Linked DNA regions of Cricetulus griseus. The protein of the gene in region 4 interacts with the protein of the main gene of each other region in a pairwise test. Links are inferred from orthologs where the notes say so. Each region holds a gene or a part of one and is shown on either strand. Other genes may lie near its edges.

The links.
Region 1: the proteins of Vim (region 4) and Yae1 interact in a two-hybrid assay, tested with the Homo sapiens proteins (2 studies listed by BioGRID and IntAct). The link is inferred for Cricetulus griseus from reciprocal best matches to the Homo sapiens genes VIM and YAE1.
Region 2: the proteins of Vim (region 4) and Ess2 interact in a two-hybrid assay, tested with the Homo sapiens proteins (2 studies listed by BioGRID and IntAct). The link is inferred for Cricetulus griseus from reciprocal best matches to the Homo sapiens genes VIM and ESS2.
Region 3: the proteins of Vim (region 4) and Kiaa0408 interact in binary tests that used the Homo sapiens proteins (3 or more experiments, as listed by UniProt). The link is inferred for Cricetulus griseus from reciprocal best matches to the Homo sapiens genes VIM and KIAA0408.

What each region holds. Positions count from the first base shown.
Region 1 is NC_048596.1:240,633,285-240,641,685, forward strand, and holds the start of Yae1 (protein YAE1 homolog), read right to left. Parts: upstream 4,251-8,401; 5' UTR 4,199-4,250; coding exon 4,073-4,198; intron 2,661-4,072; coding exon 2,539-2,660; intron 834-2,538; coding exon 404-833; 3' UTR 1-403. UniProt on the Homo sapiens protein: The complex LTO1:YAE1 functions as a target specific adapter that probably recruits apo-ABCE1 to the cytosolic iron-sulfur protein assembly (CIA) complex machinery. May be required for biogenesis of the large ribosomal subunit and initiation of translation.
Region 2 is NC_048597.1:71,378,396-71,386,979, reverse strand, and holds the start of Ess2 (splicing factor ESS-2 homolog), read right to left. Parts: upstream 5,600-8,584; 5' UTR 5,568-5,599; coding exon 5,433-5,567; intron 4,410-5,432; coding exon 4,241-4,409; intron 4,156-4,240; coding exon 4,060-4,155; intron 2,160-4,059; coding exon 1,990-2,159; intron 1,878-1,989; coding exon 1,760-1,877; intron 1,459-1,759; coding exon 1,325-1,458; intron 600-1,324; coding exon 497-599; intron 270-496; coding exon 160-269; intron 1-159. UniProt on the Homo sapiens protein: May be involved in pre-mRNA splicing.
Region 3 is NC_048595.1:247,806,031-247,814,499, forward strand, and holds the start of Kiaa0408 (uncharacterized protein KIAA0408 homolog), read left to right. Parts: upstream 1-3,646; 5' UTR 3,647-3,713; coding exon 3,714-3,887; intron 3,888-7,573; coding exon 7,574-7,918; intron 7,919-8,016; coding exon 8,017-8,096; intron 8,097-8,469.
Region 4 is NC_048596.1:218,976,444-218,983,392, forward strand, and holds the end of Vim (vimentin), read right to left. Parts: intron 6,899-6,949; coding exon 6,838-6,898; intron 4,426-6,837; coding exon 4,330-4,425; intron 4,241-4,329; coding exon 4,079-4,240; intron 3,673-4,078; coding exon 3,547-3,672; intron 2,998-3,546; coding exon 2,777-2,997; intron 2,354-2,776; coding exon 2,310-2,353; intron 1,509-2,309; coding exon 1,423-1,508; intron 681-1,422; coding exon 639-680; 3' UTR 323-638; downstream 1-322. UniProt on the Homo sapiens protein: Vimentins are class-III intermediate filaments found in various non-epithelial cells, especially mesenchymal cells. Vimentin is attached to the nucleus, endoplasmic reticulum, and mitochondria, either laterally or terminally.

The DNA.
Region 1 (8,401 bases), about 22 Mb from region 4:
TTCAATGTATTGCTATTTACACAACTACTTTAAGCTATTTCTGGCAACTCTGGTTTGGTTGCTGGTGATGAGATCCTAAACCACCTGATACTGACAGAAGCAGAAAGTAGCATTAGATTTTTTTCCCCTTGATCTTGGGTTTTGCTAGTCTAAAAATGACTAGATTTTGATTAGAAACTTGAAAATGACAATGAGGATTTCTGAGCATATCTAAAGCTAAAAAATTACCAATAACAAAGACAAAGGCTTATATTCCATTTACTAATGTTAGCACAGAGCCCCTTATACTTCCACAAGGGGTAACTACATGTTAAATATTCAACCAATGGTTACCTTTTTTAGAAACACAATGCTCTAAGGAAAATTTGTGAGCACTACTTGCACTCCAAAAGGGGAGATAATTTTAGAGTTGTCTCAGGTGCTGTAATACGTCTACTGACACTCCCAGCTGTTTCACTAAACTAGCTGTCTGTTCCAGAATCCAAGTGAGGCTTGGCTTTTCTAAATGTTCATGCTCTTGTGTTCTGCAACATTCTGAATGTGAACAATCTGTCCGGATATGACTCTTGTCAGAGTTTTTGTTAAATTCAGCACTATTTTCACAGAGTCTTTCATCTTTAACTTCATCAATCTTTTTCTCAGCTGGAACTACATGACAAAGGTCCATATCCTCAATGGAGTCCAATAAATCTGTAACTTGGGGCTGTGGAGCGACTGACTTCAGACGTTTGAGCACACACTCTTCACACTGGCCAACTGCGTCCAGAAGATTATTGATTTTACTGACCAAAGTTGAACTATTACCATGAAGGTGACACCAGGAGAGCAAAGCACTGAATGAAAATATGAACAAGAGTTAAATAGGAAAAAAATTACATAGTCACAGGCATTTAGAATGCTAGGCCCTACACGTTGTCCTTCTACAAAACATCAGGCAGAAACAGATTAGTGATAATAATAATACATGTCCAAATTAGGAAAATAACAATGTAAATAACACTAAAGAATAAAGCATCTTTTAATACAAGCTACAAGAAGACTTAATTATATTAACTGCTTATAAATCATACCTCCTCCTTCATAGCTCTGTACCAATTTTTTTTCTTTTTTTTTTCCCCCAAGACAGAGTTTTTCTGTGTAGTTTTGGAGCCTTTCCAGGCACTCACTCTGTAGACCAGACTGACCTCGAACCAGAGATCCATCTGCCTCTGCCTTCCAAATGCTGGGATTAAAGTTGAGCACCACCATTGCCTGGCCCATTTTTTTTTTTTTTTCTATTTTCCTTGACTATGTAACTTCTATGCAATAAAATATAATTTACCTAAAGACCAGAAAAACCAGTCCCTCCTTTTTGTTCCTTTTAAGGCAGAAAACCTAGGCTTGCTAAACTATTAGAAGGACAAAACACTATCGGGAAGAGTATTTTAAAGACTTCATCCTGGGCTACTCATTGTCACAAAGTGTTGTCAATGGAATGTTTTCTTCTTTCTTGGCAGTACTCAATATTTAACTGAGACATCAGGCCTGTGAGGCAGCCCCAGGTTCTCCTTTAAGGACATTAAACAACTTCTAAACTGATCATTCTTAATCTTTGTCACAAATTAGAATCACTAACAGAGCTTTAATTTTCTCCAAAAGTGTTAAGAATTCTACTTCAAATACACTTAATTATATTTGTTACTTTTCTAGTAGACGACCCTTCCTCCCGGATTGTTTATACAATTTAAGAAAACAATGGATCTCTCTTTCTTTGGTGAGGATTGAGCCCAGGGCTGTGTGCATGCTGAGCGTACACTCTACCTCTGAGCTGCCCCCTCCCGGAAAATACTATACAAGTGAAATTGACTGCTGTGAAAGACGAAGCAGTATGCTTTCTAAGTCATAAACATGAAGTGGAGATGACCCCTTGGTCCCTTTCCTGGTGTAGTAAATTATATATTCTAGTTAATTTTCTAAAGGTCTCAACATAATTTAAAACAAACGATTCTTTTCTGTTTTAAAATTTGTGATTCTTTGTAGCAGTTTGTTTCTCTATAAAGGACAGTTGAAGCATTACCCACATCAAAGAGGCCCACTCCATTCTTAGTCACCATGTGTCATCTGAGCGTTTGACTACTCTCTAATATTATTGCTATGGCATTCTGACAGGCATTCAAAGTTCAGGGCTGAAACACATAGGACCTCTTTCCATTAGTAGTTGCAGCTTTCCCAATGGACTTCTAGCCTACAGGCCTGCCATACTACATGTGGGAGTACAAAGAGCCTTATTTGGAAGCTCATCAGTGATTAGTGCTAGTCCAAATGGCAAAAAAAAAAAAAAAAAAAAAAAAGACACCTTCCTACCATTTCTTTGCAAAAACAGGAAAAGCATCAGACACACACATATTAAAATGGATGAACTGACAACGATTTTATATGCTCTGAAGACTCATGTATTCAACATTAGGAAAAGCTTTTATTTTTACATATTACCTCCATTAAAAAAAATCCATTAGAGTTGTGGTTAAAAGGATTCATTACTTAAATTTTTAAAATTACCTCAATGTTCCTCTGAGTAATCCATAGTTTATAATGACTTCTGCACCTTCTTTATAACCTTGATTGAAGCCCTGTTGGAGAGTAACTGCTTTGCCAGCATCTATTCCATCTCTGTAACCTTCCTAAAAATCAGAAATTAGTTGTAACTGACTCCAAGTAAATCTTTTCCAGAAAAGCACAGGACCCCTTTTGAAAATAGATTTAGCAGGTTTTTACTATGTTAACTGAACATGATATGGCAGAGACTTAAATCCAAAGCAGAATGTTTCTTCTAAAACCCTCTTCCTGGCTTGTACTTCCTTATCACATGTTTTATTTTCTTAAACCTTGTTTCCAGCCTGGCCTGGAACTCATAATCCTACTGCCTCATTCTCCTAAGTGATGACAGGCCTGTGCTTCGATGCCACATCCTGAACTCACTTTGGAAATATAGGGTTACTGAATAAACATTGGACAACAGTTGTTATGTAATTTTTAATACCTGTTAGCAAGTTCTTCACAGAAATGGAAACCTACATGTCTGGTCTTGGTAATGGACTACAACAGGGTAGTTAATGAGGCTGGCAAGGCCGGGGAAGAGGAAACTATTTTTAGGAACAGATGAGAGGAAGTCTGATTTTAGAAATCTAATTCGAATGTGGCATAGAGATTTTTGTCCTCTTATAATTGGTCTAGCCCCAAATTCCTAAGGCATTTTTATAATGGCATAATGGTTGTTGGACTCAACAAATACTATTAAATTAGGGTAGATCGAAACTGCAGTTTTAAAAAGGCAATTAAATGGCTGATAAATATATTGGGTGACATGGTTTTACCTTTTACTTTAAAAATATTTATGTAACATATATTTACTTGGGGGGGGGTGTTTCATGCTCCAACTTGAATGTGAAGGTCAGAAGGAACCTATTTTGTCCCTCCAAGATGTGGGTTCCAGGGGTGGAACTGAGATCATTATACTCTGGAATCCACCTCTATTTGGACACAGATCTTATCAGTTGTCACCCAAAACTAAGCTGACCCTACCCTCGTATTATTAAACAAGTTTCAATGAATGGTGAGACGGATCCGGAATGAATGACACATTTCAAGGAAAAAGTGAAACAATATCCCCTTCTCTACCTTCCCGTCCTTTGACAATAGTTTTAAATTCACCTTTACAGAGTTTTAGTAACACCACACCCAACTTTGGACTCTCCACCCACTGAACAACATCTGTGAATGTGCGTTTTCTGCCAGCCGTTAGTCTAGTCGGTGTATATTTCTCCCCTTCGGCTCTTTTCCTCCCCAAACTGCAAACTCTTGAGGGACTGGATCAAGTTCACTTTAGTCGGTCAGTCCCCTGATCCAAATCCAGCCGGGGATCTCAAAGAACGAGCCTGTTTAAAGGTTACCAAGTAACCAACCTGGAAATCCTAAGACTGGGGCGGCCGTGGGGGTCACCGCAGCCGTCCCCCTCCGTCCAGGCTTGCCCCCGCGAGCCCCAAGCCCCGCGTGGGAGACCCATTCCCGCGCGTCCCGGTCCCTGGCCATTTACTTGGATTCGTCTCCTCATGTGTCCCTGCCATTCCCGCTGCACTAACAGAGTCTCGTCCGCTTCCTCGTCAAACACGTCCTGATCCCCAGAGCTGGGAATCTCGGGAACCGCTCGGACCCAAGACATCTCCGAGGAAGCCTTGGGTCCCGGACCACCGGAAGTGCCGGCAAGTGCTTCCGGCCAGGGGGCGGGGCGAAAGGGTAGGTGAAGGATGAAGGGGCGTGTGCGTCTGCTACAGCCCTGCGACTAGGGGCTGGGTGGGGCTGTCCTCCCACGCTTCTGGGTCCGGAGGCGGGGTGGGTGCTGGGAGCTAAGTCCCGCCATTCAAGGGCTGAGACTCAGTTTCTGCGAGTGCTGAAGGCGCTGGCCAGCAGCGTGCAGCCGAAGACATTGGACTATGAAAGGTGATTCTGCGGTCAGTTTGAGATGAAGTAAAACCAGCATCCATTGGCAGTTTCCCTCCCAGCCTTCCGCTCCGGCTCGGCTCTGAGAGTTCAGGAGTGTGGCTCAAGCATTAGCCGCTTCTAGCCGGAGTACGTGTTAAAGAACTGGACGCCAGCGTTCCTGTTTTGTCCTTTGTGTGAGAAAAATGAGTCATGTCATTGAATTTTTCTGAAAAGTTTTCTGGAGTACCTAGTTTACATCGTTTTAGGCCTTTGAGGGACAGCGCTCCATAGGAATAAAAGTTCTCGCCCTGAGTTCTCAGACCCTGTGGACTTCCTATTAGTGTAGAAATGGCAGTTGACTAAGAATAATATATAAATAACCCAAAATTTAAAATGTAAATGCACTACTGTGGGAGAAGAGAAGATAGGTTACGATTTTTGTGCTGGGGATTGAGCCCCAAACCTTGTAAATGTGGAAGGAGTGTTGTGTCAGTAAGCTATTCCCCTGCAGCCCAAAGTTACTATTGTACATTTTCAGAGTTTGTATCCCGTAAATCTATATATAAAACCAAATATAAAATGTGTTAAGGTGTATGCATATATAGGTATTAATTAGAAAAAATGGTAGTGATTGAAATGAATAAAATAGAAAACTGGAAACTAATGCTTGTGAGTTGGTTCAGTAAACACTTGCCATCAAGCCTGAGGAACTGCGATCAATCACCATGATGGAAGGAGAAAACCAACTTCTGAAAGCTATTTTAAAACCAAACATTCTAATACAATGCAGTCTGAAGATATACTGATTGATACTTTTATAGAAATACAACACTGAGAAATGGTGGTAGGGAATATTAAAGGTTGTTGTATTTCTATAAAAGTTTTCTACAGTATGTATAGTAGAAACACTTCAGTATCTAGTATGCAATAGTCTTGGCTCTGATCCTAGGTGTTGGAGGCAGTGTTTAGTGGCACTGTGTAGCTTGATGGCAAGTGCATTACACAGTGTGCTTGCCGTGTGTTCAGGTCAAGGCTGCAGTGAAGCTGAACAATACAGCATAAGTCAAATGCTGCCAGAAACACCTTTGACTCCTTTTGGTTTTGAATTTTGGATTGTTTTCTGTTCAGAGACCTCTCACTGTTGCCCAAGTTTTCATGACTCTCATCTTCAATTATATGACCTCCTGATTCAAGAAGGTGTGTGTGTGTGTGTGTGTGTGTGTGTGTGTGTGTGTGTGTGTGTGTGTGTGTGTGAATGCACATGCATCTATGCAGCATATCTGTATGCAGTGTGTATGCAGGTATATGTGTACATATGTGTGCAAGGGTGTGGATGCTGGGGGTTAATATCTGATGGCTTCCTTACTCATTCTCCACCTTATCTTTTAAGACATGGTTTCTCACTGAACTAGACAATCGTGAATGGGGTAGGCTGTCTGGCCAGTGAACACCAGGGATCTGTCCCACTGCCACTAGAGCTACCACACCAATGCCAAATATGTGAAATAGCAATTCAGAGTCAGGTCTAAATATAAGGGTATTTATTTAGGAGGATCCTACTCATCACAACAGCCTAGCCAGCCAGCAGGGAGCAAGGTAAGTAGAAGAAGGGGCCCCATGTGCTTGCTTGCCTGTCCCTCACTCTTAAGCTTTCCTCCCATCACCCTGACCATGCCCAAAAGGGTGTGGCCAGGCACACCTGTAACCAGCCCCAAGCAGGTGTGGTTACAGTGTCCCCTACACCACACCTTTTTATGTGGTTGCTATGGAGGTGAACTCGGCCTCAAGCTTATGCAGCAGGCACTTTATCAACTGACCCATCTCCCCAGCTCCTGTAGTATTTTAAAGGTTCCATGTGTATTCTGGACATAAGACCTAAGTCAGATGCATGTATGCAGATGTAGTCTTTGCTCTAATTATATCCACTGAGAGGCAGAGTTAGGAACACAATGCATGTGAAAGAGACCAAGGAGAGCAAGTATATGCAGGCAAAGTAAGCTTTCAGAAAGTGATGCTGATCAACTTCTGTGACAAGGGAGGCAGAACCAGCGTCCTGGGCTGGCGTGTGTATTTCATGATGTCTTAGCTAATGTATGAAGAGCTCTACAACAAAGAACAAGGGAAGTCATACATTTGGGTCACACGGACATGTCATGCTCCCTTGTCAGCTTAGTTATGCCTGGAGAATGTCCTGGAACCGTGTGGCCTTGGCTAGGAAACCACAGCATATCCCATAAATACTCACACCTTCAATAGCCAGATGATCTTTCAATGTCCTCTCATGTGTATTATTCTATTTTCCAAAATTGCATCCCCACTCTTTAAAAGAAGAAAAAAAACCTCATAAATAACTATGACACCCTTGCATAAATTTTGATGTCATGATGTGAACTTACTCTGGAGGATTTAAGAACTGTATCTTGCAACTCAGTATGTCTCATATAAACATACTCTAATAGGGTCAGCCTTTAAGATTCACCACATTTTTCTCCCCAGTCGCCTGCTTGTCATTCATCTTTGTCTTTACTTTCAAAGGCTCCAACAATTCTTCTTTATGTCTTTCTATTTCTCATCTCCTGCTGACTTCCATTTTTTATCTTGGTTTTCCACACTCTATTTGTGCTCTTGCAAGGTGCTCTTTGGTAGTTGACATAATAAACTCCAAGAGGGCACAAACCTTTCTTAGAGTCTCCCCAGTATCTGGCATGGACACTTAATCATTCAGCCTTGGTAACTAGGCAGCAGAAGATTTCTTTAAACCAAGGAAATTTGGTTTCTTGCTTGTTTCTCCTGAACTTTGGCAAATACTGTCTTTAGTGTTCAGCAATAGATTCCCGGGTACCACACTGAATTGCTTTTATCAAGGTGTCACTAAGGTTATGTAATATGTATTAGAAAAATTGATATGAGTGGCAAAAATAGGTGGGAGATCATTAGAAATGCAGCAGAAATGGAGCGAGGGCTTGATGGTAAGGCTAATATGGGGACTATAGGCAGTTGCCTCCTTTAATTTTGTCTCTAGAAAACTCAAGCAAGCAGGAAAAGTACTTTAAAATCCAGTACAAAGTGCTTGTTGACTACCGAAAAGGACGAAGGAGGAATGCCAGACAGGAAGCCTAATTTATCTTTCTAATGGCCTATTGATGGGCAGTATATAGAAGCATGCTCAGGTTTGTCTCATCTTTCAAAGATCTCTGATTACCTCCAGGCTGTTTCGTAGCTATTTCTCTACATTTCTCTTTCCCTTTACAACTAAGCCTCTTGAAAGAGTCTCTGCAGCCCTTCTCACTTTTTAAGTCATTGGAATCTGGCTTCCAACCCCTCTATACTATTGAAATAAATGGGGTCTGGAGGTGGAGGGTGTGGCATGAAAAACAAACAAACAAAAACTAATCAACCAGCTATCTACTTTATTTCTCCATTAAGTTATTCATTGTACATTGTTGTTTAGTATGACCACTTTGGAATTTATTGTATAGCTATATACAATATATATACTTTTTAAACCTGTAACCCTCCTTACCCAAACCAGTCACCCAAGGGATTGCAGTCCTATGCTCCATGCCTGACAGTAAACAGTACATTTTAAGAAGGTGAATTTTATGACATCTTAATTTGAAAGAATTATCAGTAGAAAAGAAATAATATGTGAACAATTGCCAGATCATACTTCTGGACAAAGCAGAAGATTAAGTGTCCCTGTTGAATACAGTCTTATTTTATGTAGTTCACTTAAAGGACAAATTGCACCATTAGTACTTGAAGAGTGGGGATCTCTAATATTGATCTAACTCAGTATTTATACCAGTAAAGCTAAATTCAACAGTACAATTTATGTTATGCACTATCACATCAAGATGGCTAGCAGGATAAAATAGAAAAAGGGGGAAAGTTTGGATGGTAAAAGCAGAGGTATATGCAAGAATAAGATGAAAAAATACAG
Region 2 (8,584 bases), on a different chromosome or scaffold from region 4:
CTTCTCTATTGCCTTGGCATGGTCTCCACTCTTCCAAATCCCTTTTTGATAGTCCTACCATAATCCCCTCTTCTACAGAAGCCCTGTGCCCAGTCTTGAGCAGCAGTACTAAGGCATCCACACCAAGTCCCAGCCTGATCCCCTCTTACCACAGCCTACCTTGAAAGTTGGTCCTGGTGTCCTATCCACATAGGGGCTCTCTGACCCTTCGACTCTCAGGGGAGTATTCTCAACTTCTCCCCACGTCATCAGTGGTGACTCATTCATACCTGCAGATGGAGAGCCCACACCTCAAACAGAGGACCTAGTGGGGGTGCTGTCTTTCTCCTAATACATGCATCCCAGATGACATTAAGGCCAACACACACAGGCACACCTATTCACATCACAGGGAAGACCAAACAAGACATGGTGCCCTGGGGCATCTCAAGGCACGTTTGCTGAGTCTAGCCTGTGCACTGCCCTGTCCAGTCTGGACTTATCACCCATTTCTTACCAGGAGCAGGAGAAGGAGTGGCAACAAATCCAAAGCCTCCCACTCGGGGGGACTCCTGAGGAATAAGCTCCTTGCCATCAGGACCAACCTTGCCCTGTTTGTGCTGGAATAGAGAAAGACAGAGAGACAGACCAGTGTTAGGGGTTCTCCACAGCTGACTGATAGCAGGTACAGAGGGACATGTAGGAAACACTTCCCCTTGGAATAGAGCTTGGGCTCTAGGACTGGCAGATCCCTTTGGGAAAGACAGGGAACCCTATCCTCATCTTGCCCCAAAGACTTTGAAGGTTAATAGTAGTAGTCATCAAGCAAGGGGTGCCCCTTTCCTCCACCTAAGGAGGAATCTCTTAGGTTGCAATGCTACGAAGGGCTGGTGCTGTCTTTTTCCCTTGAGGCATCTGAATCTCCCAATCTCTCCTGCCTCTCCTTCCCCAACCCCATGACGACCAGAGCCACTCTCTGAGGGCACTCAGTCATCTTAATCCCAGGCTCCCTCTGGCACTTCCCAGTACACACTGCTCTATTCATCTCTCTGCCTGGTAGATAGGTATGGGTCTGGGTTGGCTTCCAGAAGCTTCTCTTCTCCCAGGCCAACATCATAGCGGCTGGTACAGGAGTGGACCTTTAGGTCATATATCTGGCTCCATTGGAAGGGGCTAAAAAGAGACATGGGTCCTAGCACACAGAGGCTGTGTTAGTTTTGCACTTAAGCTCTATCTAGCCTCAGGACAATCCTAACAAAGGGAACAACCAAGATGGGAGAGGCCACACCTATGCACAGTTAGCCTATCACATTTGTCCAGTTGTCTGGTAGCTCTGCTGACTTACCTGGGCATTCAGGGCAGCTGCCTGCTGAAGCTGGGACCTGCTCAGGGCCTGACTGAAAGGGTCCCGGAGGAAACGTGTATTCTTATGCACTACCTGCCGTGGCTTCTTGAACAACTGCTCTTCATCAGGGACACCTATCAAAGGAAAAGCAAGGTAGCAGCCATCACAGGGGTGGGAAGTTCCATGCCCACCTCAGCCCTGCATCCTCAGCTAAGTCACTCCCAGCCAAAGACCACACCTATAGAATCCAAACACAGAAGTGGGGGAGGCCTCATTGCCCCACAAATGCCACAGGCTCCCCAACCCCGAGATGGACCAGGACTTCTCTTTGGTCCATGCTGCAAGTGAACAACTTTAAAAGTTGGTTAAAAAATAACAAGACAGACCACTGTAGTCCCTGTCTTCCTGTCCTGCCACTCATTTCTATTCACTTACCCTCAGGATAGTACATGAGAGAATTCTTGGCTTTATACTTCCAGGTCTCCACTCCAGCCTGACTGCTCTCAATGGCTTGGTGCTCTGCCGATGGGAGTTCAAGATTATCTTTCTGCCGCTATAGTGACATGGGAGGAAAGTGGGGTCAGGAAGTCACCCAGACCCTGTACCTGTGGCTCTGGGACTTCATCCCCCAAAAAGGTGCCTATATTTTCAAACTGCAGGGTTACCTTCTCAAATTCCTCCTCAGCTTGGTAGAGCCACGCATGGCGGGCATGGCTTTTTTCCTTGGCTACTTCCATGATCTCTTGGAAGGAGGCATTGTCTTCACTTGTGTAGCGGCTCAAGAAGACATCCAGGCTGGGCAGCGGCTCCTTCTCCTCCTCATCTCTAGCCTCTCCTGCTCAGGAGCCACAGGTAGGGAAACACAATACACATATAGCACAATTACCACTGCATTGCCAGTCTTGGGAACCACACCACAAAGAGCTGGAACCCTGGCTCCTGCTAGGTGACACAACAAACCCCAACTGTTCAGGCAGCCCCAGGTGGCATCCACAGCTGACTGGCCAGTTCCACTCATCTGCTGGATGCCAAGAGAAGTCTGTGATCTGGCTGACTGGTGAAGGGGCAGGGACAAACAATGAAGCAAGAGCTCATGATAACTGTTTAGTAGGCTCTTCCTCTGCCCAAACTGTACTAACCCTGTGGTACGGATCTCTGAAGCCCCAAGGGTTCTTCTTTCCTTCCTGGGATTGTCTTACCCTAACTACCTTTTCCTTTCTGACTGATGCTACAGGTAAGTGATGGTCACTAAGCATCAGGGTATGCCAGTTAATCCCAAAGGCAGGGGCCCATATGGCCCAATGCTCCAGGGAAGGCTACAGACTCTGGGCCACAAAAGCCAACCATACCACCTCAATCCCTGCCACCAAAGCAAGTGATATTCCTGTAGAGGTAGCAATGAAAATCTGGGTGGTAGGGGGGATGTGAAGCTGAGGGTTCTCATCTGTTCTACTGACAGTCTTGACCATCTGTGTGCCAGCCAGTACTAACCACAATGGCTACAAGTTTAAGACCTGAGGTTAGAAAGGGGATAGACTTGGGTCCCATTCAACTGTTGACTATTCCTAACACCTACAGAAGTCACAGCCTTTTGAAGCCTGTTTCCTTATCTGTAATTACAAAGATTCCAATGTTTACTGATAAAAATGTGTCTAAAAAGAGCATCTTCAAATTGCTCTGTGACTCTATACTGTATTTCAATTAAGAGACAAGATCCAACAATAACCATTACCATGTTCATGGCAGAAAAAGATGGGCTGTTGAGAAACTAAGCTTGTGTGAGCATGTTGCACATTTGCCCTAGTACAGTGTGCTGTAGACTAGAGCCTGGTAGAGAAACAGCTTGCCCACCTCTAGGAATACATCCTATTACTGAGAAAAAGATCAACTGACCGAGAAAAGTCCCATAAGTATGCAGCACACTCACATATTCAATAGATTTATAAAGTGTGGCTCCTAACTTTAAAACATGCCCCATACTTATGTCTGATGCTCAGGAAACATGAGCACTTTCATCTGTTCTCCATGTCTGTTGATGGTACAGCACACCATGTGCTATTCCAAACGTGGTGCAAACAGATAGAAGCAAAACCAAGACCCGGCTCTCTGAGAGGGCATCAAAATCAGTAATTAGGGTGAGAGGCAATAAGCAGAAATGCTTTCTGAGATGTTACATTCTGCAGTAAAGCACAAAGCTGGCAGTGTGGGAAACAGTGAGACTCTGGTCTCAACAAAACAAATCAGAAAAAACAAAGGCAGTCTGTGAAGCACAGAGCCCCAGGGTGTTCCAACTTTACACAAAAGGTCAGGAAACCTCAACATCCACCAAGTTTATGCCTCTTAGCCCAAACAGGTAACACCTGAATATGGACCTGAAGGAAGAGACACAACAAGCAACTACCTTGGAAGAAAGGAAGAAGGGGCCTGAGGCATCTTCAGGAGTCAGCAATGAAAGAGCTTTCCAGGCCCACAAAGCCTACAAGGCAAAGGCTGGCACACTGAACAGGCTGGTGACAGGAGATGGGCTCTCATTCCAGAGACAGGCCAGAGGCACAGACTACTGCTCTTCCACAACTGGGAGCTAGACAGATCTAGCTTTCCACACCAGTGTCTTTGATCCCAAAAGTTGATATTTAGGTTGGGAGACCCCTCAAGGATGAAATGTGATCCTGAGAAAACTCAATATGACTCCTAAGCACTCTTGACCATGAGACCAAAAGAGTGAGTTCACTCACCATCATCTAGGTCCCGGCCTTGGGGACGGAGCTTGCTGCCCACCACACCAGAGCCTGTGTGTACCTCAGGAGTTTCAAAGGTGGCCGGAGTAACATCTGAGGGAAGCAAATTAGAAATTAGAGGGAGTCTACAGAGACAACAAACTTCCCTTCTCTGCCTTCTAGAACAGCAACCTCTTACAGGGTGGTGGAGGTTCCCGAGAAATCTTGCCCAGAGCAGAGCCAAACTTGATAGCAATCTGGCGCATACGCTCCAAATCTCCATTTTCCTCAGCCTCCAGGTATTCCTTCTGTGCCTGTAGCTTCTCCACATCAGGGAAGAAATCTCTCTGGATGACTGTCTGGAGTCCCTGCCACAAGCAATCAGAACAAAAGGTCAGAGCTGGCATATGGGAGTCATGACACCATTATCCACTTTAGGCCCTAAGGTCCTTTTCACTTCTGCCTATCTGGATGATTGAGATTTTCAAGATAGTTCAGAAGCATTTTCTAGTACTGTTTTTCAAGACAGGGGTTTCTCTGGAATGCTTTGGAGCCTGTCAAGGAACTGGCTCTGTAGGCCAGCTGGCTTCAAACTCACAGAGATCTGCCCGCCACTGCCTCCCGAGGAGTGCTGGGATTAAAGGTGTGTGCCACCAACAACGCCCGGCTCGGAACAACCTCTTGATGCCCATAAATCCTTTCTTGTTCTCCTTTGCTGGTTCCATCTGCAGCAGCAGCCAGACTAATGTAGATGTTGCCTTTCTCATTCTACCTATGTATTTTTATTTCAATCCAAACCTTTCTCTTGAAAGCCAGTCACCACTACTGCCACCACCGGATAAAATTCTCAAGATTTCACCTCCGGCCAGACCTTGCTGTAGAGCTACAAATCTGTATACCTAGCTACGTGGCGATGATACATTCCAGCCTATCCCAGAAGCGTCCTAAATTCAACCGGTCTAAAGCCAGACCTATGTCAGTTTGCCCTCCAGCATACTTTGCAGTGGGACCCCTAACTCGAGGAGCAACCGAGACCCTCACTCAATAATACGGCCAGTACCGAGGTCTATCTCCAGGACCCCCCAGCCTTTACACTTAATGCCGCTGCCTTCCAGAAAGTCCTTTTCTCCATCACCCTAAAAACCTGTCAAAATTCTGCTCATACTTTAATAGGAAACTTTATTTCCTAGGCCCTCGACAGACAACGAGACCGCTCCTCCTTTTCGCTGAAAACTCGACACCCCCTTCCGCACTGTCGTCTTGGCTCTCAAGACTTTCCAATCCCACAGGCGGCTGAGAGTTCCAGTACCAGAAAACATTTAAAGGACCGGAGAGGAACGCGAATCGGGGAAAGGGCCCAGAAGTCGCCAGAGCTCGCACTGAGCTGGTACCTCGATGTACTCTTCTTCATCCAGAACCCGTTGCCTGCTTCTCGCAACCCCGGTTTCCCCAGCCGCACGCTTCCTCGGAGGGACAGACGCCGAGGGCGGAAACAGAGGACCCACAGAGGCCCCGGGCGTCCCCATCGCTATCCCAGAACCGCTCAGGCGCCGTTGGCGTCACACCAACAGCCAGCCAATGGAGAAGCAGTATTTTTGTAACAAAGCCGGCGCTCCCAAATGATGTCACCCGGAGCGCCGGATCTTAAGGGAGTTGTAGTCTTAGATACCCATCCGCGTTGCTCGTGCCTGTCTAGACTATGGTCACTAGGAGGCGCTGTGGGATGCCTACTTGACGCCACATTTCCTCTATTAGAAGTTCCAATTTTTCCTCAACAAAAACCAAAGTCGTTTTTAAATAGTTAAAAAAAAAAACAACTTGGTTATATATGAAGTCAAAACTCAGAAAAAGAAACACTAAGACAAGTCTTCCCAGAGAGTTGTCTAACAAAAGGTAAATGAAAAGAAGGAACAAGAGGGCGCTTAAAGCTCTGGTTAGATTTATTAGTTCCCTGCCTGCCAGGGTGGGCTTCCCAAAAGAGGCCTGTACTCACTGAAAGTATTCATGGTACTTCCATTCTAAGGGAGATCGTGAATTATGCCAAACCAGTTCTAGCCCAGAATGACTTGCCACAATTTTGCTTTTCCAATGATCTCTTCCTTCATTGGAAGTCAACTGGGGGCATTATGGCTATGTTCCTGCCCCAATGGAGTTGACCATAATAAACACACACACACACACACACACACACACACACACACACACACACAGAGTCATCCTGCATGTGTGTGAAATCATGCCTGTGACTTGCAAGAAGTCTGTACTCAAGAGAATCTTGATTTCTACATAGCACATGTCATGTTGTGTTTTCCCAGGCAGAAGGTGATTGTAGATCCAAAACATGAACGGATAGGCATCAGCCAAGTGGAACTGGAAAGGCACGTGCAAAAGCCCAAGAGTGGCATGGAGCAAGGCAAATTCCCAAGCAGACCTTTGCTCACACCATTCAGTGAAGAAGGACATGATGGCAGAGGGGCAGAGCCAGTCTACCAGTGTCATTGGGGTCCTGGCAAGAAATACCATTTTTATTTTGAATTAAAGGGAAGCCAGAGCGGGTTCAGGTGAACATAACTAGAGAAAGCTGCAATGGTCTTGGTGCAAGGTGATGGCAGTTTTCCCCAGGTTAGTGTAGCTGAAGCTGCAGAGAAGCTGCTTTCTGGGGTTTATTGATATATTTAGAGGTGAAATTGGATGAACTTGGTGTGACAGAGGGCAATTGGTGATCAAGAACTGTGATTCATGTCCTTAAACAAGGCCAATGAACGGAGGACTGGCTCACCAAATACAAAGCGAATGTGAGGAGGCGGTGGCTTTCCAAGTGTTGCCTGACAACCCCTGGGGACAGACTGACAGGGTATGGACATACTTAGCTCAGGGGAGAGGCCTGAACTGGAGATGGAAATATATGTGACATAGAGATGGGAATTACAATCTAAGGGTGGAAAAGATACATCAAGAAGAGAACCGAAGGTGGTGGAGAGATAGCTCATTCTTTAAAAGCACTCTTGCTCTTCCACAGGATCTGGGTTCAGTTCTCAGTACCTACATGATGGCACACAGTTCTAGTTCCAGGGGTTCCAATACCTTCTTCTGATTTCCACCAGCACCAGGCAAACATGTGGTACACATACATGCATGCAGGCAACACACACACACACACACACACACACACACACACACACACACACACCATGCACACAAAGACACACTCACACATTCACACACTCACAAACACACTCAAACACATGCAAGCACACACACAAATAAACACACGCACGATGTTTTTAAAGAAGAGAATGAAGATGGGAGAGGCCTTGAGATGGAACTTCTGGACACTTGTCAATGTCAGGTGTCAGGTGAGGAGTGTGAGGAGCCTCTGCAGGGCACGGTGACGATGAGAGGAGGGCAGAAGCTCAGCCAAGCTCAGATTCTGGAGAACCAAGGAGGACAGGGTCCCCAGTCTGCAGGTGAGCTGACCTGGACAGCTGTGTCTGAAACTAGACAGTGAAATCTTCTAAGGCAAGGCCAAAATTCAGGAGGAACAGTCTGGTGGCAGCCGTAAGTATGCATCCCAGGGACTGGGAGGAAAGTCCCTATCCTGGAGGTCTCCAGCAGTGTTAGGACAGCTCTGGCTGGGGATATATGCCTGTTTGGTGTTCTCTAAATTAGCCATCTTTATATAGTACCAAGACCTCCTGCCATTGGCTCTATAGTTTAGCTTTTGTGAATGGACCAAGTCTCTCGCAGACACCACAGCAAGCTTCAAGACCTGTGAGGGGACAGAGCAAGGAGATCAGGCAGGTGTAGGGGGTGTTAGCTGCCTCCAGCCCACTGCACAAGTCAGCAGGGAATGGAAGCCATCTTTCATGCTTAGTATACCCCACACACTTCTGTGGGGCCTGGATTACAGAGGGGAAGACAGACATTTCCTAACATAGTGGGGATGGATGTTCCCTGAATTTAATCTCTTCACCACCCTATTGGCAGATACTACTGTATGAAAACCTCCAGGGAAAAAAAAAGCCAAACATCTCCCATTTGTGAAGCAGGTTGGTAGTACCTGGAGGCCATAGCAAATCCCAGGAGGCCTGCCACCATCTTCTGGCTTTAATTCTGATGGGGAAACACGGTACTGGGACTGAGGACTTGTTGAGCTGTGTTCTCTAAGACATGTTGATCCCCAGTTCCCTGGGAATGGGGAAGGGAGACAGCTCCTAAATAGCTGTGGAAATGGAGCCTGAGACATGGCACTTTTGATTCTGGACTGTTTATGGTATTTGTAGATCTCGTTTATTTCTTGGTATTGGCACAAGGCTGAGATGAAGGAGCAGGTGCAGGGACCTGGAAAATACCAACTATAGCCTTCTTATTCTACTGCTCCTGATACCATGGTCCAGTACAGAACCTTTGAGGACAGAGTAATCCCAGGACTGTGCAGATACCACTGCCCTGCTTAGAAGGTGGAAGAATACATAAGGGGCCAGTCTTGGAGGCAGGCATGAGGTGGCGAGGTAGCCTCCACTATAAAAGACTTTGGGTCCTG
Region 3 (8,469 bases), on a different chromosome or scaffold from region 4:
TGGTAGGTAACCTCTCCTAACACTATGGTTTACTTGGCTAAGCCCCAATTTTCAGTGGACAAGATGAAGTTTGAAATGGTCATACCTGTGACCTAGAAAGAACTGAGCATGCCCCAGGTGAAGACATGTGGCCGTGACCAAACTGAGGCAGATGGGAGGGACGGGGTGAAATGGCAGCAGTTACCTGCTCAAGGTTAGTACTTTCAGATCTCTGCTTCTCCAAGCCAAAAGTTGTTGTTTTTCATCAAAGCTTGTGTTTTCTCATTTTTTCCTCTGTGAGACCCCTAACTGTTGTCACATTTTGCTCCCTGGCGGGGCTCGACCGTGAGCTAAACCATTTTGCCTCTCCCATCACCACCCTTGCGCAAGCCACTCTAGATCATGTACAGTCTTGGCTTCTGGCCTTGGGGAGAAGGAGGTTAAAAGGGATTACACAATGGCAGTTTATTAGGGTTGCTGGGGGAGGGACACATGTGTGACTAACGAATGCAGCTACCTCTGTCCTTCCCAGTTTCTTCTAATCAATTTCTATTCTGAATGAAATTTGGGAAAGCGGAAATGAAACAGAGAGCAAGGAAATATGGGAAAGAGGATGCAGAACGCAAAAATCCTTTCTCCTCTCCCACATAGATGCCAGCATCTGTGGGAGAGAAAGAGTGACAACTAGGAACAGAGAGCATTTATATCTGCTTCACTGGAGAATGTGGGGCCTGAGAACGGAGCGGGGGGAGGAAAAAGGGCTTCCAGCTGTTCCTTAAGAACCTATCTCCAGTCATTCTGACCTCACCTTATGTATTTCATACATCCTTAAGAAAGTTGAAAAATACTAAGGCAAGACACAATCAAAGGGAATATAAGAGTTGACACATTTAGACTTGATTCCAAAGAAGGAAAATTCAAAATAACCAGTCTTACTTTCAGAAAGGGTTACATGGAGATTCATGAAGGAAAGGATGAAGGAAAGAGGGAAGATGAAAGACAACGGGAAAAAATCATCATTTATCAAGAACTCATTATGCATGCGTAGTGTTTAGATTCTCTGTACAAATTCTCTCATTTGATAGCTTACACGTCAGAGTGTTTCCATGCCCCCCACCACCACACACACACACTTTGTTTTTAGAGAATAGTGCAGTATCTCCTGCTGTGTTACAGTGGATATTTATATATATTGAATCCAAGACAGAGATTCTAGCAAAGTGAAGAAAATCTCCTATCCCCCCAAAAAGGTAGACATTGCTATAAATAAACATTTTTGATAACGCTTTCTTTTTTAATATGGAAATCATTGGTTTTCAGCAGTAGCCATCACCTTTCCCTAACTAGGCTTTCCTCTGGTTTTGGAAAGGGGAGGCTGTGAAGATCAGTCCTTCAACCCTAGCTGACAAGTATGATGCTCTGCAGAGGAGCTCAGGATTCAGGCCTTCACAACTCTTTCCTGGGCTGACATACTCCTCTTATTAGGGACAAAACTAGATGATCTTCCTGTAGATGAAAATAGAAGGGCTTGACATCTTTAAACTCTGAGGTGTCTGTGGTTCAGTAGGAATTAAAACGAAAGAACACTTAACACCCATAGTTACATGACTTTAGTAAATGCTTGTGAGGATGATTTCTGAATAGCTCCAATTTTAAACACAGTTGGGACAAACCATGGAATATCATGAAACCTTTTTTCTGACTATGTTGTCAGAACACATCCCCTTTGTCTCATGTCCTTGGTTAAATTTGTAGTTTCTTCCTGATGTCTCAGACCATGACCCTTTTTCAAAGCCATCCCAGAGGCAATTCTTTATGGCCACTGAGACACTGCCAGCTCACAGTTGGTTACAGACAGCTTTGAAGCAGTCTTCCATTCTCACAAACAAACATCTGTGTTTCCTGGGAATGGGTTTTAGGGGGACCTAAAATATCACTAGGTCATCAACAATAGTAAAGATTCTGTCCGTCGAAACAAGAACCCAAATTCTGTAAAATTCTCTACTATCTTCATTGTGTTAGATCTTCAGGGTTTGGCTTTAGAAGTGGGGAGAGTAGCAAAAGAAAACCAGGAATAATGAGAAAGAAAATGAGGTTAGAAACAGAGCGTTACAGAGGGGTCATGAGAGCATGTTTGTAACTAAATTTGAAATTGTTTACTTTTGCTAACTGAATCAGTAATGATATTGTGAGTGCCAAGGAAATATGCAAAAACTATGGCAAATGTTTTTGAGAAAATATAGATCTTACCATTAATAGACTTTTTTTGTTGTTTGTTTCTTTATTTTTAAGAAGCAGAGCCTGCATACAGAGTTATGTTTCTAATTCCTTCTAGTCTATAATAATTCATTCCTATCTTAACTGGAAAGGCCTGACAAAATTAATCTTTCATTGCCATATAATATATGGGGTGTGAAATATGCATCTGTCTTTGGCGAGTGCAAACTTGTTCTTGCTACATAATCATACAGACTTAGTTCTTCCAGGAACACCACAACACTGACTATTGGCAAATTCGTGCATCAGTAACAGAAAATGGTATAGCATTATGACCATGTATTAGTAAAATGAAGCATCAGAGTTTGGGTTTTGTTTGGTTTTTGTTTTCTTCTCTTTCTTGTGTGTGGATGCACATGCACACATTGTTGCATACATGTATGTGCTGGAGTTCATCCCAGGCCCTTGACAAGCTAATCATGTGAGCCTGCCAAGTTACCCATAACTCTGTTTCTTATTGGCACAGTTATTTTAAATAAAATTGGTGCATTACCAATAAGCTTTTCTATTCACTCCAAAGATACATGATTTTATTGATAAAAACTTTCTTCAGATAAAGCAAGATTTTTAAAGTCCAAAGTATTTTTTAATTTCTCAAATTACTGTGTATTTATTATACTATCTAAAGTTCATAATAATGCTATGGATATCCTCACTTTAGTGTAAAAAATATCAAAGCTTATAACAGAATTATATATCTGGTATTTAAAGGTTAATTTTAACTATGTGTATATTTGGGGATAGGATATGTGCACGTGTCAGTGCAAGTGTCCACAAAATTCAGAAAAAGATATTGGATTCCCTGAAACTGGGGTTACAGGTGGTTGTAAGTCACCCACTAAGGGAGCTGAGAACCAAATGTGGCCCCTCTGTAGGGGCAGTATGCAGTTGTGAGGTCTGAGCCATCTTTCTAGCCCCTAAGTCCAAGATTTTAAATTGTCTCATCAAGCCCGAAATATTAATATCCTGAATGTTAGAAATCAAGTCATTTTGGTCACTACTTAGTGTAGCATAAGAAAACTTCTCTTCAGTTTCCTATAGTTATTATTCAAGACGTGTATAGTCCAGGTGAAAGAAGAGAGGCCATGAGTAAGTTTTAAGATGTGTCTCACAGAATAATGATAATACTTGAGATTTGACTTAAGAAAGGAAAATAATGATCTTTTTTCATTTTAATATTTGCATGGTTTGTAGTTAAGACACTAGTCTTCTGAGATGACCTACTTTGGGTCTTGGTACAGTCCTTCCACTTGACCTGGGGAGGATCTTGCTTCTTTCCTGTTTAGTTTTCTATAGTTAATTATGTCATTGGGTCTTAACAAAATATTTCCACAAAGCGCGTGAACTTGGGACTCTGTCTTCTTATGTTTATCTCAGGCTTTATTTTAAAAGGCAAGTGAGACCACTTCAAACCAAACACTTCCACACTTCCAAGAAACAGCTGAGAGAAGGCAGAGATGAGCAGAAACCCTTTGGCTGACACTCACACAGTTGCCATGGACCTGCATAAGCAGTGGGAGAACACAGAGACCAACTGGCATAAGGAAAAAATGGAATTACTGGACCAGTTTGATAATGAAAGAAAAGAATGGGAAAGTCAGTGGAAGGTCATGCAGCAGAAGATTGAAGAGGTATGAGTTGATTTGTTTAAAGATGCTGTAAACTCCAAGCTAAATGTGAAAATCCTGCTGACATTCATTTTCTATTGGGGACTACTTTCATTTCTCTTCTTCCACCAAAGAAATAAACGTCTTATGACGCTAGATCAAAACCAGCATAACCACACCTAGTGGTGTCTCTGAGAGTGCATTTATTTTATAGTCTTACATGAAAATACAGACCTTGAAATGGTTCTCAGCCTCGCTAATGCTGTGACCTTTTAATACAGCTCCTCATATTGTGGTGAGCCCACCCAACCATAAAATTATTTTGTTGCTGCTTTGTAACTGTAATTTTGCTGCTGTTATGAATCATAGTATAAATATCTTACATGTATACTAACTTATATGTGAGCCCAAAGGGGTCACAACCCACAGGTTGAGAACTGATGCTCTACAATGTATCAATTTAGTATTCTCTGATTTCAGGTTTATGGTACCAAAAGTAATGTATATGTTCTGTATGACTCCTCAGCTACTACAGCCTAGAATGAAAATGCAAGAAATAAATAATTGGTGGGGCATACAGTATCAAGATTATAATTTGATAATCATATACCATCTCCTTTCTTAGAAATGACTAATGTATACCAAATATTGTCAAATAACTCAGAAGCATCAAATGTATGTCATATGTCAGACAGAAAAATGGTAGAGGACATCAGATTTATTCTGGCAATGTGTTAATAGGAAATGAATTTTTTAAATGACATATCATGGCTCTGACACAGTCAATAATTTTATTCTCATTAATCACCCCCTAGTCATCCTCGACTTTTGCATGAAATGTTCCTTCAGACATTTACTTTAGTGTGCCTTCGAGCTTGCTCCAACTGAAATTTATGTATATTAATTTTGCTATATTTCATTCAATAAATAATATTGAATTTTTTGGTTTCTTCAACTTAACAAGACAGTTATTTAACAGATTCCCGGGCCTTATTTTTTTTCTTTAGCAGACAAGCAAAGTAAGTGCTTTGTATGTTTACAGTGCAACCATGCTTCTTTCTGATTAACAGAAAACAAATAGGTTGTGAGTAAAATACACAAGTGGTATGCCATAATGGAAAATAAAGGATGGGGGTATTAAATCCTTCCTCTAGGGAATAATAAAGGTGAGACATCTGTGATTAATGATTCCAAAATAAATCTACTTTTACTACTACATTTGAAAAACATATTGTACTAGCGTCCTTCACTTCCCTTATCCAAGGGCTTTCCTACCTGTGATTAAAACAGCATAGTTGAGAGTATATTTATAAAAATGTGCTACATATACTGCCCATAGGTAATATCTCAATGCCAGCACTGTGTGTCTTCTTCTGGTTATATACATATGGACTACAGTGTACAAAGCTAAGATAAAAATACTGAGAAAACCACAAGGGGGGTGCTTGGAAATTGTATGGTTCAAACATAGTGAAGTATTTTTTCTTTAGCAAATATGTTGTTTAACAAGTACAGTACGTGTGTTTAAAGTTACTAGGCTCTAGTATTAAATTCTTTCAGGATATTGAGCCATGTGCTAGAAAGACGCAGACTCCAGAGTGTGCATCTGTAACATTGGTGATTTTAAGTAATAATACAATTGAGTGAAAGCATCCAGTATGAAGATGGTCCTGTATCTCTGCTGAGTCCCTCTCCGCATTCATTACAATTGCTATTGAAAATCCAAGGCATATGTACTCAGACAATTTGAAACCTGGAATAATTCCCTATGAACTATGATCATGTATAACTTAGCTGATAGAAATCTTGAAATTTTTTTGTTCCCTTGCAGTCTTTTCTGCTTGTGTCATTTGGTCATTCAGCTATTGAACAGGAAAAATTTCCTATACCAAAGAAAAAGTTTTCCATTTGTTACAGTGTACTAGTACTAGTTTCAGGGGGTGGGGGGCAGAATTCTTGCTGCTGCTGTTTTAATTTCTCAACTAAGTTGAGTTTTGGGAAGCTATAATGGCATAAAATTACATATAAGTTAAATTATACCAAACCAAAAACTGAAGGATTAGATGAATACATGAAAAGGAATTGTATATAATACACAGGAGTGGGTCTTTCTAGAACCCAATATAGTTAACATGCAAAATGAAAAGCCATGAGTTGTGAATAGCACAATTTCCCCTGGGTCTAAAAATATAGCAATTTTCTTTTTAATTCAGGAAATTTTTTGTTTTGTTCTGTTTTGAGACACGGTTTCTCTGTGTAACAGCCTTGATGGTCCTGAAACTTGCTTTGTAGACCTGGCTGGACTCGAACTCACAGAGATTCTCCTGCCTCTGCCTCCTGAGTGCTGGGATTAAAGGTGAGTGCCACCATGCCAAGTCTATTCAGGAATTCTTAAAAATGGGAAAACACTGCCAACAATATCCTTAAATTTAACAGGGGACTTTGGGGGTTGTTCCTTATATCATTCATGTTGAAGAACAATTCAATACAATTAATTTTGTAGGCATCAAAACAATCAATTTATTGCTGTAGTTTGGAAATGAGTGATTAAAATCTTTATCAATATTGGGGAACTAAAAGCACCATGTATCCTTAATGTATTAGTTATGTATACTCTCTCAACTGGAATTATGTATAAATATTGAGTATGTTATTACATTTATTACCTTAGTGAAATATAAAGGTATTTGCTTTAAAGTTATTTGATGGTCTGTTTTGAAATATGATAGGCTTTTGCAAGATGTAAGCAAATCTCAGGAAAACACTGCTTCCTTCTTCACTTTGGGAGTAAGCTGATGGAGTATCTGCTGATTTCACTAAGGCAGCCTCCTTAAGAAATAATTTGGGATTGTCTTTTACTGAGGCGATAGATAGTCCAATTTTTAAAGTTCTGGCTTATCAGGTAGAACATTGATGCAATCATTTTAATATGAGTAAAAACAACTTGTTAAAAGAATGTGTATCATTGTGGCATTAAAAATATCACTATAATATCTACCCCTTGATAAAGTAGTTGACCAACCAAGGAAATGATTAATAAGGGATTACTTAGAGGAAAGAATATGCTGATTTACTATATGATATTGTCAGCTATTTAGACAGTTTAGATCTTATGTTGTTACATAAGATCGTATGTTTAAAATATATGACTATTAATGTTAAACTTTTGTTATATTAGAAAGTGGTTATAGAGAATAGAGAGTGATTGATTTGGGTCAGTGTAATTTTGTGATTGTGCTTCTGCATTCTGTATAGATCCAGATTTAATTTATTTTTTTAATGAGTTGATTTCTCATCAGAAAAACAGAATGTGGTATCCATGCATTGCCCTACTAAAACTAGTCTTTACGGTTCACCAAAACTGTCCTATCTCATTCCTGTTTTAGAGGCACTATCTATATGCACAAGCATTAATACCCATGGTAGTATGTAGTAATATTGCAAAAAGGACTTGAAATGATTTGCTTAGTATCCAAGAATATTGAACAAAGTTAGGCATAGTAGCACATGCCTTTATTACTAGTATTCAAAGTCAGAGGCAAGTAGATACTGGGGAGCATGAGGCCATTCCGGTCTTCACAATGGGTTCCATATCAGGACTATGTAATAAAACTCTGCTTATGAAAATTTATTGATCATAAAAGAGAAAGAGAAAATATATTGATCAAGAAAATTAGGAAAAGTAAATTTTTAATTTTTATTTCCTACAGCTTTGCCAGGAAGTAAAGCTGAGGAGGAAAATGAACATGAATGAACATTCTAAGGTCATTGCTCTTGATCGTGATCAAGATAAAATGGAATTTCCTCCAAATCACCCCAATTCAGGACAATGTGAATTTAGAGTGATGAATCACCGAGATGATCTGGACAAGGACAACAAGCTAGAAAGGGACTTCCTCAGAGAAGGAAACCAAGCTTATAAAAACCAAAACACGCCCACAGGAAACAAAGTCGGGTTTCTGAATCCTTTGGCCACAGAAGAGGAGGCACATGAGGAGGCTGGCATGAGGACTTCTAAGGAGGAGAGTAAAGATTGTTCTGTCGCCCTTAACACAGTAAGTAAGACCAGATCAGCCAGGAAGTGTTTCTAAAGAAGTGCTTGCACTTCCGAGTGCTAACAACGCCTCTCTTTTTATGTGTTATGGGTGTGAAGGCTCTTGAAGAACTTGCAAAAGTGAGTGAAGAATTATGCACCTTTCAAGAGGAAATCCGAAAGCGCCCTAACCACAGAAGGTAGGCTGGCACACGTGTGACCATTGTAAACCAGAAAATTCAAAAGAATTCTTTTCACAGTCAGTGAATCTAAACTGCCTCATCATGTATATCTTATTTCATGGATTCTTAAAAGCAATCTTCTAATATGTTTCACAATTTAAATATTAGGACTATTATATTCTTTGCGTGTTTAATTAAGGTGGACTCTGTAATAAATGTATCTGTTAAGGGAAGATCAAAGAATATAACAAAATTTATTTTATGAAATTCTCAAAAAAATAACCCGTAAACCATTAAAAAGTGAAGATTTTGTCGTCATCCCAATGCCCTCTAGAAAGCGCTTCAGAGCCTCAATATATGGTTTAACATTGATCTAAGATTTGGCATGCCT
Region 4 (6,949 bases):
CTCGCGTGCGCGCGCGCGCGCTCAGGAACGCTCATATGCTTGAGTGCTCGAACACACACAAACACGAATGCAGTCACTACAGATTAAACCCAGGACCTGTTCATGTAAGCACATCTCTACTGATAAGTCATACACTCACCCCAAATTCAAAGAATAAACAATTGAAAAGAAGTGATCTCTCTTGTAAAAGGCTAACTTAAAAACTGTATTGCAAGCATAAAAAAATTGAACCTATAACTTAAATCCCAAGTATGATCTCAGTAAATTAGCCAATAGAACTAAAGATATTTGTTTAGATATTATAAAATAACACATCAAAGGAGTATTTCTGAAGATTTATTGAAGCAGTAACAAGTTGGTCAGGTATTTACTGGAAAAAAAGCAGTTTTAATGGTATTCAAAAATACTTTAAAAAGTATTCTAGCACAAGATTTCTTCGTAAACTAGATTGTGTTGTAAACCTTTTCTAAATCTTTTAGGGTGTCAGTTGTTAGAAACTAGAGCTTATTTCTATCCCAAATCTATCTTGCGCTCCTGAAAAACTGCAGTAAAGGCACTTGAAAGCTGTTTCCTTAAGATACAAATTTCTTTTTTTCTTCTTGCTGGTACTGCGTTGTTGCACGGAGTGTGTGCAATTTTTATTCAAGGTCATCGTGATGCTGAGAGGTTTCATTGATCACCTGCTCAAAAAGGAAATAAATCAAATCAGGTAAGGAGACACAGCCCTAAATAGAATTTGTTGAGCAGGCTGGGGGTTAATGCTGACTCTTCACAGCAGGATTTAAAGAGAGATGCATTGGCAAGGAGACCTCCTGCAGGCAATAGAGGTGTCCAATGAAAGGGTGTGACATATAAAAGAATACTTGAAAACTGTGTTTAGGAAGTTTGCTGTAGCAATCCCAGGCACAAAGCTCAAAAGCAACTAAAACGTGTTAAAATCTATTCAATAAAATGCTTTCATAATTATGATTAGTTGTAACCATTTCTTGCCTGGCATGGAGAGGTAACAAGACACTGATTGACCATATGCCAGTCCTTGTACTATATAAACAGGTGACAGGAGAGAGAACTGTATGCCCAAGTCAAACCATCCTTGATATTAACTGATGTCATTAGGTGAAGTCCTTTAATAAAGTTCATCTAAAAAGTACCTGAAAGGTGTTTTATTCCCATTTCAAGTTACAGACTTCAGAGAGCAGGAAGATTATTGTTACATCCAAGGACCAAATAATCAGTTGTTTTTATATTGGTGGAATCAGAGCCTATATTTCCAGTAGGCATGGGGACCTCTCAAGTTAGCTGCCTGCATCTGGTATATATGATTGCTGATTTAAAGGCGATTGAGGCATATTTGAAATGGCCCTATATTTATTCACTATCCTTTCTTTTACCCTGTCCATATTTTATCTAAAAGATACCAACCTGTCCATCTCTGGTTTCCACCGTCTTAATCAGGAGTGTTCTTTTTGAGTGGGTGTCAACCAGAGGGAGTGACTCCAGATTAGTCTCTGAATTAAAAAAAGCAGGTAAAAATGAAAAATTTTAAACGTTGCCATTTTGTCCAAAGCATTGTGAGTTTATATTTGCAGTTGTTTAAAGTGCTACTTGTACATAATCTTTCAAAGCACCATCTGTTTGAAGACACAGTACCTAAGGCCTCCTTCACTCAGGCTGAGATAGTAGCTCTCTGTGTACGCCATTAGCAGGAAGCAATCTGGAATCCACACTTAACTTAGAGCGTGGAATTCAAAAGTATATTTGGTTTGAAACTTAGGGTATTAGTCTAGGAGTATAGCTCAGTGGGAAAGCACCTGCTTAGCTCTAGGCTCTGGGTCTGATCTTCAACAGTAATGTAAACTATAATTTAAAAAGGAAATTGGTCCAATACCAAATGGTCGGGCCTGAAAACATATTCAAACAAATAACATTAAAAGGACTGAGGCATTGTATTCGTATATTTAGGGATACATAGTTATCTAGCTAGGTGGTAAAATAGGTATATGTATGTATATATAACAGCAATTAAACAAAAAGAAGCCATGAATCTAAAAGACAGCCATGTGTGTCAGGGGATGGTACATAGGAGGGTGTGGAGGAATGAAAGGGGGGGATGGATGTAATTATATCATATCCTCAATAAATTAGAAAATAAAATGAACATATTCATATAAGGCTTATAGAAAAAGGAAACCACAGATGTTTCATAGACTTTTCTCATATAGCACTGTTGAGGTATTACTAAAATGTGGATGCTCTGCTACATGATGATTGGCTACAGCTTTTTCCATAAAAGGAAATGACACACTTACCTCTCAGGTTCAGTGAAGAAAAGTTGGGAAGAGGCAGAGAAATCCTACAAAAAGCAAAGAAACATTTTTTTTTTTTTTTAATGAAGCACTTCAACAAGAAGAAACAAGTTCCCACACTTGTAGTTTTCGTCCACTAGGAAATCTGTAGCTGTTAGAGATCTGATTCAGAAACATCTACCCATAGCTGGTCTCATTAGCACATTTTGAATACTGTACGAATTTTCTTCACAGGAACATGAGCTAGAGGAATTACAGAGGGGAAAGTATTGACTTTGGCATGGAGGTGGGTTCAAATCCCAGCTCTGCTGTTAATTAACTCTGACCACAGCAAGTTATTCTCTTTCAACCTTAAGTTTCTCATCTATGGAAAATGCAGGTAGAAATGGTGTCAAGGTTAAATGAGATGCACCTAGGGAGACTGTGATGACGTAATTCACAGGCACAAGTGCAAAGTCTGCCTTCCCTACCTGCTCTCCTCGCCTTCCAGCAGCTTCCTGTAGGTGGCAATCTCAATGTCAAGAGCCATCTTAACATTGAGCAGGTCTTGGTATTCACGAAGGTGACGAGCCATCTCTTCCTTCATGTTCTGAATCTCATCCTGCAGGCGGCCAATAGTGTCCTGGTAGTTAGCAGCTTCAAGGGCAAAATTCTCTTCCATCTCACGCATCTGGCGTTCCAGGGACTCATTCTGTGGGAAGGCAGAAGGGCTTCTGATGTGATTTCCCAACCCCAGCTATTCCCATTTGCAAACCATGTGCACTAGTTCTCTTAATAGCAGGTGCCTACTAGCTTCAAACAGAGAACACAGGCACTGAGTCCCATGTCTTGTTTTGTTGAGATAAAATTTCTATGTGGAGCCTACTGTAACCTTGAGCTTATAATCCTTTTGCCTCCTTCTCCAGAGTGCTGTGGTTACAGAAGTGTACTCTTGTGCCCACTCTAAAAATCTCTCTTATTACAATCAATAACATATGTCAGCTAAGACTTTCAAGATATCCATCAACTAATTCTTAAAACTGTCTTGATAATTCATTATATTATCTCATATGTATAATATACATTACAATGTTATATTAATATTATATAATATTGATATTATATAAACTAATATATATGCATATATATATATACAAATATATGTGCATTTGATTTGTTTGTACAGGTATCACTGTTAACCTAGTCAACAGAGTAGGCCGAGCTCACCATTCTCTCCCTTTTGCTGCTGGGTGGTACTCACAGTTCCTTTAAGTGCATCCACTTCGCAGGTAAGTGACTGCACCTGTCTCCGGTACTCATTTGACTCCTGCTTTGCCTGGCGCAGAGCATCATTGTTCCGGTTGGCAGCCTCAGAGAGGTCAGCAAACTGTCAGGAAGAAATCAGAAATGGAGTTTGCTCACTTCCTAGACTTTTCACTCTCTTAGAAGAGTGATCTTCATTCTGACTCTGTGTTTCCTAGAATATGTCTAAATGTCTGTTTGGAAAAGCCAGGGAAGAGTGAACACTGATGCTATTTTCAAACAGCATTTACTCCACTGCAATTCTTAACAAGTGTTAGAGGTCAACAGCTTGGCAGTGAGGTGTTCTTTGAAGTAGAGTAGAAGACAATGAGTGGAAAGGGTGTCTGTCTGCCATACTACAAGAAGCATAGAGAGTGACAAGGATACTGTAACAATAAAATCGGCTACAGAGAGCTGGGGGTACTGATGGAATCGAGGCAGGTGTTTTGAGAGTGGAGGCTTTCCTATCATTTACTTGGGCTCATTCATACCTTGGACTTGTACCATTCCTCTGCCTCCTGGAGGTTCTTGGCAGCCACACTTTCATACTGCTGGCGGACATCGCGCAGGGCAGCAGTGAGGTCAGGCTTAGAAACATCCACATCAATCTGGACATGCTGCTCCTGAATCTGGGCCTGTAGCTCCTGGATCTCCTGAGGAAAGCACAGACAGAGAGGAGTCAGATGTGGACAACCCAGGTGCAGCTTAGCCTTGTTCGCTGGCTGAAAGGGACCTCACTTACTTCATCATGCAGTTTCTTCAAAAAGGCAATCTCTTCTTGCAAGGATTCCACTTTACGTTCAAGGTCAAGACGTGCCAGAGAGGCATTGTCAACATCCTGTTTCGAAAAAAGAAAAGATGACAAGGGCGTGTTAAAATCTATATTTCATCTTATCTGTTTATATTAAATATTTTTCATTCTATTTTATGTATGTGGGTATTTTGCGTGCATGTATTTAAGTACACTGTGTGTGTGTGTGTGTGTGTGTGTGTGTGTGTGTGTGTGTGTGTGTGTGTGTGTGTGTGTGTGTAGTGCCCATGAAAGACAGAAGAGGGCATCAGATCCCCTGGAACCAGAGTTTACAGAGAAACTCTATGGGTGATGGGAATTGAACTCTAGGTCCCCTAGAAGAGTAGCCAGTGCTCTTAACCATTGACCTATCTCTACAGACCCTTATTTATTTATTCAAAACTAACTATATGAACCCATCCTCATTACTATAGAGAAGGTACTGAAAATTTCATGATCCTTGATAGATTTATAAATTATTTAGTGTAACATTCCAATACACATCCTTAGCTATAAAAATGAATTGAAAGCCATTTTGTCATATTGAAGGTAGCTAGTTGACAATTTAAGAATAAATGCATATGTATGCACATGACACGGTATGACAAACTCTATTGAGTCCACATTTCTGCATACAAAATTTCATCATCAGTTTGAAGCCTGAAAATCAGTATCACAGCATTTAATTTTTAAAAATTTTGTGATGATAGTAGTCTATCAGATTTTACTACTCCATGTCTGCCTGAGTACATATAATAAAAATGTAAGCTTCAGAAAATACACATTTTTAAAAGTGTGGTGTGGGGGGACTGAAGAAATGGCTTATTCAGTAATAGTATGCTGGTGTCTTAGAGGACCTGAGTTTGGTTCCTAGCACCCACAACCAGCAGCTCACAAAGGCTTCTAATTCTGGCTCCCAGGGATCAGATGCCCTCTTCTGGCCTCATGTCATGCTCATTGGGCAAAAAGGAAAATATATGATGTAATCCTGAACTGTATTGGTTTTGCCTTCTCTGATTTTTTTTTAAATGCCCCTTGACTCATCCTATAGGATATTTCTATCTTTCTCAGCCATCATTGTATCAATTCAGTGACATCAACTATTCCAGGATGGTGGAACAAAACACAATGAAACTATATGTAAACTCCTTTACAGAGTTTATAAAGTGATCTATAAGCTTTCCACTAAGTCCTAAACAAAAACAAAAACAAAAAAAGATATAAATGATGTCAGACCAATCTTTTGAAAAAAATTCAGTGAAATGTGACTTCTTTATTTAAGGGAATGAAACAGTTTAATTTAGTCCATAAATAAGAAATGTTGAATATTCACCCAATGCCTTACAGAAAACATTTCTTGGGTGATGACCATATACCCCCAGTGACAAAAAAAAGTAACCAAATATTCTTGTACTGCTGTTGAGTATGCAAATATCTCTCACCTTCATAATGTCACCCTAGAGAGTTTTGTAGCTGATCCTAATGAATGTTCCCAAGGATAAGACTGTACTGGCCATCTTTCTGCTTTGGTATGCTGTTAACACCTAACTTTGAAGCAAAAACAAACAAAAATCCCTCCTTCGTATGAAACTCCATTCTTCAGTCTAGGATTTATCTTTAATTGTGGAGGGTGCTAACCAGTCTACAACTCCATAAGAGGAACCCTTTCCGGGAGGACTGTAGCTTTAAGAACTTTGTACACCACATACTTCACAAGCTTGAGCCAGACATTAGATAAGGGATGTTAGCAAATACTTGTGTCCAATTGGAACTGTGGTTACATCATTACATATTCAATAAGAATGTAGCCTGTTGCAAAGCTGCTCTGGGAACACAAAGGCTCCTATTATTTCTGTCCAGAGCCACCGCATTTGCCAGAATGTCGGTATCCACATTCCATAGTGAAGCCCATAGAAACTTTTAATACCCTTCAGCAGCGGGAACAGATGGCTTCCTTTCACCCTTGTTAGATTACAAAAATAGTTGTGCAACGACACTTCAGCTAACTTTCATGCAGTACCGAACTTCGAAGAAAGAAAGGGAACTTGGCTCAATTCCAGTTAAACTTTCTCATCCTCCAGAGTATTCTACATTTCAAACTTGAGGACGCAACTGTGCTTTGTGTGACCTTGTGAAAGTTAGCTGATTTGACTTTCACAAACGGCATTCTAATCAAACTGTAAGCGTTCAGAATCAGAAGGTCAACGTTTCAAAAAATGAAAGGGAAATATTTTGGGGGAACAGAAAAATCTGAATGTCCCCTCCCCGGGGGAAAAAAAAAAAACATAGAAAAACTTCATGTTGCAAGGATTGACCTAAACAGTGGAGTTTTTCAATATGTGGACTTTCTGCCACCAGGGGCTTTACAGGCAGACTTGAAGTTTTGCACCTTTAAATCCTGGGTGAAGTAACTTTTAGAACTGCGAGTGGTTTGGGTGGGTGGGGCTGTTGGCTACAAACCTGTCTGAAGGACTGCAGGGTGCTCTCGGCTTCCTCTCTCTGGAGCATCTCCTCCTGCAATCTGAAGCAGTAGTACATTAAGCAGAGTGGAACTGGGAAACCACCAGGGGCG